2 linked regions of the Coturnix japonica genome follow. The protein of the gene in region 1 interacts with the protein of each later gene in a pairwise test. Links are inferred from orthologs where the notes say so. Each region holds a gene or a part of one and is shown on either strand. Other genes may lie near its edges.

Evidence for each region.
Region 2: the proteins of CEP19 (region 1) and CEP43 interact in binary tests that used the Homo sapiens proteins (3 or more experiments, as listed by UniProt). The two-hybrid records come from large-scale screens. The link is inferred for Coturnix japonica from reciprocal best matches to the Homo sapiens genes CEP19 and CEP43.

Annotation. Positions count from the first base shown.
Region 1 is NC_029524.1:3,566,776-3,570,190, forward strand, and holds CEP19 (centrosomal protein of 19 kDa), read left to right. Parts: upstream 1-1,567; 5' UTR 1,568-1,591; coding exon 1,592-1,715; intron 1,716-1,817; coding exon 1,818-2,179; 3' UTR 2,180-2,734; downstream 2,735-3,415. Other genes in the region: PIGX (phosphatidylinositol-glycan biosynthesis class X protein), read right to left, coding at 23-164, 1,272-1,335, 1,415-1,466. UniProt on the Homo sapiens protein: Required for ciliation. Recruits the RABL2B GTPase to the ciliary base to initiate ciliation.
Region 2 is NC_029518.1:38,160,694-38,164,514, forward strand, and holds part of CEP43 (FGFR1 oncogene partner), read right to left. Parts: intron 1,870-3,821; coding exon 1,816-1,869; intron 553-1,815; coding exon 498-552; intron 1-497. UniProt on the Homo sapiens protein: Required for anchoring microtubules to the centrosomes. Required for ciliation.

The sequences.
Region 1 (3,415 bases):
GGCTGAGCTCCTGCCTCCTTACCTTGGTTACGTTGTGCTGCTGCAGTGACGCCAGCTCATCGGGATCCACGTAGACTCCTGCTGGCAGCTGAGTCCTAGCAGCCACCGTGCATCCTTCTGTCCATTGCCCCGTGCTGCCCAGCTCCGCCTTCACCAGCAGCTCCCTTAAAGCAAACCATGGGGGCACAATGCTGACACCTGCGTGTTGAGAGACAGCAGAAAAACCTCCAAGTGTCAAACTGTCAAATGCTCAGAGATGGGTGTAGCACATCCCAAGAGTGAAGCTCGGCTTTACCAGCTGCTCTGTGCTGCTGACAACCCCAGAAAGCACAGTGCGACTGCAGCCCACACAGAACAAGCAATAGATCCTAAATATGTGAGAAAAGAATCACAGACACACGCACTGCATGTGAAAAGAATCACAGAATGTCAGGGATTGGAAGGGACCTTGAAAGATCATCTAGTCCAATCCTCCTGCCAGAGCAGGAACACCTATATCAGGTCACATTAAGTTTCCCAGGAGACAGGCAGAACAGTGAAGGTACCTATAACTGATATGATCCTGCTGTGGTACGCTATTACAACAGTATACTCACTATAAAAAACTACTTTTGATCCATCACTCAGCTTGAAAGAAATAATTAAGAAACAAATAGAAATTATCTACATCTGTGTTGAGGATTGTTGTCTACAGTACATTTTCCAACTACTCACATATCTGAACCTCAGAAATAAGGGGCTTCCAGAACTAATTTTGTCCAAGACAACTTAATAATAATTGTAAAAAGGTTCTATGCTTCTTTAATGTCTTTGAAAGATATGAAAACAGATCCTTATGATGCTCATTTATTTCCTAAACCAACCTATATTCCAATTTTAGCTAAAACATTGAGAATCAACATCACCAGAAAATGCCTATACATTTGGAACCATGCCACTTTGTTCCAATACAGTTCATTACGACAACTGATACATTCAGTAAGATCCTGTTTAAGCATACTGACTTTAAATTTGAGTTCTCATGGATATCTACCTTTCTTACAGCTACTAAATCCAGAATTGTCAGAGGGAAACTTTCAACAGAGTGGAAAGCAGTGAAACGCAGTTTAAGATGTCTATGAAACGATGGCTCCCAGGCTGGATGTGGCTCTGTGCAGCCCGGTCTGGTGGTGGTGACCCCGCACACAGCAGGGGTCGGAACTGATGATCACTGTGGTACTTTTCAACCCAGCCCGTTCTATGACTCCGTGTGAAGGCAAACCCGGCCTCACCTGTGCAATCCCTCCTTCAGCAGCTCCTGAGACACGGCGCTCCTCACGCAGGCGGCCTGAGCGTCTGAAACGGCACAGACCGAGTGAGCAGCGGCACCGGGAGCACAGCGCGGCTGCTGACGGCACGACGGCGTTATACTTACGGAAGGCACAGAGCAACGCGCTTAACGCCCACCGCCACCGCACGGCCGCCATCTTGGAACCCCCGCCTCACCTCACGGCCGGGGCTGCCCGCGGCGCTGCCCGATTCACTCGGATGGTTCGGGCGGCCATTTTGAGTCGCGTTCCTCAGGCACTTGGAGCGGGCAGCCCGAAGGAGGATGAGCCGCACGGCGCTGCAGTGCGGCGTCCGCTTCCAGCCGCCATCCGTCATCCTCATCTACAGGGACAACGACAAGACCCGGCGGCGCATCATCCCCGTCAGGAACTTCTCCCAGTCCTCAGGTGTGTTGGTTCTCCCCCGGTTCCTCTCCATCTCAACTCCATATCTCTACTTAAAGAGATCCGCCTGCCCCTTGTAACTCCTCACGGTGGTTTTGTGTTTAGATTGCGGCGTCGCTGCTGAGCAGCTGAAGAATAACCCTCGGCACAAAGCCTACCTGGAAGGAGTGTCGCTGTGTCAGCTAAAGAAGCTGCACGTTCTGCTGAGAGGCCACCTGAGGGGAGAGAGCCTGGCTGAGAGCCTGGGGAAGATTGAGCAGGAGCAGAACATTGACCCCGAGGAGGACATGAACAAACTGGACGATGAGGAGTTAGCCAAAAGGAAACGCATCATGGACGAGCTCTTCGAAAAGAACAGGAAGAAAAAGGACGACCCGGACTTTGTCTATGACATCGAGGTGGAGTTTCCCCAGGATGAGCAGCTGGAGTCCTGTGGATGGGATGGGGAGTCGTGTGAAGAAGTCTGATTGCAGACCGAGAGGAGCTGGATGGGCAGAAACAGATCCCATATTCCTAGGAGAGAACAGTGCCATCCTGCTCCCTCCACTGCAGCATCTCCTGTTGGTGTGGCTTGAAATTGGCCATGGAGAATCTGAGGCCTAAGATATTCCAGCAGTTTCAGGTTTATATGCAGTGTAAGGAGCTGAACTGAGAAAGCTGAAACGAGACAGCTGAACTTGGTGGCTGTTTTACTCATTTCCAACGTAGGAGTGCCCCAATTTAACTAATTTATCTTTCCTTTGTTTCCATCTGGCTGAAAACCTCACCATGTTTTCCTGTGATTTCTCTTCAGCTTTATCTGAAAATGAAATGTTAAGTATTTACATCTTGGAAGCAATAATACACTTTATTGGGTGCCTGTGGTGTTTATCACCACCTCGGTTGGAATGTGAAATATACGTTTGGATACATCAGTGTCTCATTGAGGATATCACTCTCACCTTCCCTCAGTAGAGGCCACGTTTGCCATTTCAGGTTGCACAGGTTAAATCCTTCATTAAAAAACCTGAGCATTTCAAAAACAAGTCAGTTTTGGAAGCACTTTGGGGATGCTCACAAGCAGAAGAGTGGCTGAAATAGTCTGAGTGATCCCCCAGCAGGTACCTGTGTAGATAGTAGATGGCTTTTGGCTATTTCTATCTGAAATAGGGACAAAAAATGGCCACGTGAAAGGGTGGATGTGATGGCCTTCTCCAGATCTTTCCACAGCTGTGCCTGGCTCTGTTTCTGCAGCTCCATGCTCAGAGCTCACCCCATTGACCACAAAGCATGTGGTAACCAGGAGAGATAAACAGATAAAACACCATTACCAGAAATATAATTTATTCTTGTGTCTTTCGGCCAGTTGTTGTACATCCCTGAGGTCTGAGGTTCTGTCTCACTGGCACAGCGGGCACTGCCAGCAGTGGTGCCACCACCAGTGCAGTGTGGGACGGGGTCAGCATCCCAGTCCTTCTGTTCTTAGTGGTTTACCCTAAGGCTGAAGCTTCACTGACAGATCCAAATAGATCTGCCCCTCTTCCACTTTACCTTTCCACGTGTGGATTGCAGCCCTCGCCCTCCAAAACACGCAGATGTGAAACGTTCACCATGGAAGTTCACATCTGCGCCGGTTTCGTGTTGGCCTCTGGGCATGTCCCTGTGGTCACATATGGAGGGTGACCACAGCGGTGTGAATAAATAAAAGCAAGCACCAGGCAGCC
Region 2 (3,821 bases), on another chromosome or scaffold:
TCATCACACAGTTGACTAGCTGCAAGTTCACATCATACCCAACTCAGAATTTGTGTACCAGTTCTCAGCCATTTTAACTTATTTAAAGTCAGAAATAGTGCATGGGAAAAAAGGAATTGTGTCCAAAATTCAAGTTTAAAGATTGAGGTTTCTCTTTGTTTTGGCTCCGCTTTCATCTGTTCTGATCTTTTAAAAACATGACTTTGCCATTTTTCTTATGTGTGGTCGCTACTGTACCTCTACAATCTGTTTTCACCATTAACTGCCTAGAGTAGCTTTACTCATCATGAAATATTAACTTAAATATACTAGTCACCTCAGTTAAAAATAAGACTTCAGAGACATTAACTTAAAAATTCTAGATCATACTCTATTCCAAAGCCAGTTGTAAGAACTGCTTTTATTTGATGGGAATAAAGGCATTCTTTATGTCACGGAAGATTCAATCCATTATTTGTTGTTCTTTTTAATTTTGAGACGTGGTAACCAGAACTTACCATCTTTTGTACTCAAAAATTTCTTCAAGCTTTCATTTACCAGGGGTGCTTTGTTCTGTCAAAAAGCAAAAAGCAAATGTTAATTAACAACATCCTTGAGCTATTAAGAAGTTAAAAACAAAATAGTAAAATAAATAAGTAAATAAATCACAACAGTTTGGTGTTTTGATGTACACTCATACATACAGCACATGGTACGTGCCATTCACCTCTCTGAATCCTACTTCTTAATCATTCTTAATATGTGAAAACACCCTGGACAGGAACCTAACTAAATTTAAGGAAAGGATCTGTTAGAGGCAGCACTTATAAACAGTGATAGTTAACATACACACGAAAGTCCCTCACCAGTATTTAAAAGAACCAAACCAAAACAACTTTCCTAGTATTTAGGAATGGTACTACATCACTCTTCCATTATTTCTTCCTCAGCAATCTCATGTTACCTTTCTGACATATGGAGTCTCACGCCATAGAATAATTACTCATGCTTCCCATCATTACCACTGTCACAATAACATCTATTGCAGTTGTGCGTTCTTCCAGAAAGAGCACAACCAACAAAACAGCAGAGGAAAGGGGCAGCTTTCCATTCTTCATTTTCAAAATACACAGCCCAGACATACAGCATCTGCACCCTCTCTTCTCTAGGTCTAAAGAATAAACAGACACAGGAAAAAAGGCAATGCTGGCAGAAAAAGGGGTCACAAAACTTCTCAAAATCGACCACTATAATACCTTACATTTCAAAAGACTTTTTCTGATTGGATAAAGTTTCCAGCTGTCAATAGGACATTTATTAAAGTAGTACTTGGCAAGAAAAGATATTTAATTACCCTAGTCAAATGGACCCGAGCAACATAAAAGCAGCAGTGATAAACAGTTTCCTGTGAGCAGTTTTACAGTAAAGGTTATGTGAGACTTTGAATTTCTAAATACTGGAAAGATGACCTTTGTGAGGAGTTTTTTTTTAAGCTCTTACGCAGTGATAGTCATTTTCTCTTGTTACACTTCACAAATATAATAGGTAATAATAGGTAATAGGTAATAGTCTAGAGGGTTGGAAGGGACCTTAGAGATCACCGAGTCCAAACCCCAGGATTTGAGCCTCCTGTGCTGCAGAGTGGCACTTCGACCACTTGTGCCACAGGGGGGATTTGAACCCAGGGCCTCCGGTGTTGCAACACGGCATTCCTACCACTGCGCCACCGGGGCACACAAGTATTAAAGTAATACATAAAGTATTAAAGTAATTATTTTTAATTATACAGGAAGAACTGTCAGAAAGTCAAAACTGAAACACTTAAAATCATCTTACCTCTACTTTCTCTTGTTCTTCTAATGCCAAAAAAACAGCTGCTCGTAACTCTGCCTGCCAAGTAATAAAAAAATGAAATGGCATTTCTACAAGTGCTGCTTTACCTATGCAAATAGAATGCTAAGAGCCAGAAAGTATCTTAACATCTACTTGCTGCTCCTCCAACAACTTGGCATCAATTGTAAACAACATCGACACAATTAAGACATTTAGGTATACAAGCAATGTGACTTGAGGGTGAGAAAGCTTTCGGAGAAGCAATGGGGCAGAAGGAATTTGATACAAGACTTCCCAAATTCTTCATCCTCAAGAAAATTCTAAAACTCATAACCTCCCACTTGTTTCCCTTGGAAGTCAGAAATCCATCTTTTTGGGGAAGCTTTGAAACACCTACCCTTAATTTACAATTCTTTCATGAAACACAGACGTATAGCTCATGATTATAATTTCTTCAAAGCTTGTGCTAAATTATACAAATTCCTATGACCTGTCAGATCACACAAAGCAACAGAAATTCTCAAGGAAAAGAAAGCCTGACTCCAGTCATTTGAACACCTTAAATGAACAATATGCATTACATTTAACAAAGTACTCTGATTAAGAGTTAATTACAGTGGAAAACATTTTGAAGTGGCCAGCAGACAAACTGTGTGACCACAAAAGACGCTGCTACTCTGCATGTCATTTTCCTCAAGACCAAAGGAGAAAAAGGTTTTCAAAGACCAATTTGTATACCTAAAAATAAAAACAATTTGAAGAATGGTTGGATTTCCTCATGTACATTAGCAAAGCAAAATAAAACCAACAAAAAAAAGACAGGTTAAAAGTAATCCTCTTTGGATACATTTCTAAAAGAAAATAAGTCATGCAAAAAATGTAAGAAGGGTTCTCATAAGAAAAATTATAGGATGTCTCCCAGTTGTATGCAGTGCTCACTTAGACAGCTATCCCGTTTTTTCAGGGTGTTTTCCATTGTTGCCCAAGAAACATCTTATTCACAGCAGCAGTAAAGCAGAACAAAGCTTAGTATTGAACTTCCTCACCCTTGTCACAGAATCAGACAGAATCGCAGAATGACCCGGGTTGGAAGGGACCTCAAGGATCATGTAGTTCCAACCCCCCTGCCTGGCAGGGCCACCAAACATACACCTTTACTAAGATCAGGTTGCCAGGGCCCGTCCGACCCTGGTCTTGAACACCTCCAAGGACGGGGCATCCACAACCTCCCTGGGCAGCGCTGTTCCAGGGCCTAACCACTCTCCTAGGGAAGAACTTCCTCCAAATCACCAACCTAAATCTTCCTCTTTTAACTTAAAACCATTTCCCCTGTCTTGCTACTGTCAGCCCTTTCGAAGAGTTTTACTCCCCTCCTGGGAGTAAGTTCCTGTCCAGGTACTGAAAAAGGCTGCAATGAGGTCCCCCGCAAACCTTCTCTCTCCAGGCTGAACAAACCCAACCCCCTCAGCCTGTCCTCATAGGGGAGGTGCTCCAGCCCCCTGATCATCTTTGTGGCCCTCCTCTGGACCCTTCCCAAAATCTCCATGTCTTTTTTGTACTGAGGGCTCCACACCTGGACACAGTACTCCAGATGGGGCCTCACAAGTGCCAAGTAGAGAGGGACAATCACCTCCCTATCCTTGCTGACCACCCCTCTCCTGACGGAGCCCAGGATCCCATTTGCTTTCTGGGCTGCCAGAGTGCACTGCTGGCTCATGTTGAGTCTTTCGTCCATCAAGACCCCCAGGTCCTTCTCTTTCAGCTGCTCTCAAGGCTGCTCTTGTCCTTTCCAAGCCTTCGATAAAACAGCATTATGCTGTAAGCTGTACCAGGATTATGGTCTGTAAGTCAGGTCTTGACAGCTACACTGACTGCACATCTATCATCCTAGAATCCACTAAAGCCACAGGCTTCTTTCCCATCCTGCGTGCACCAAGTCTCAGTAGACACCTCTACAAACTTTTAGAAGACAAGAGCTCATATTAATTCAATATAAACCCACTACAACT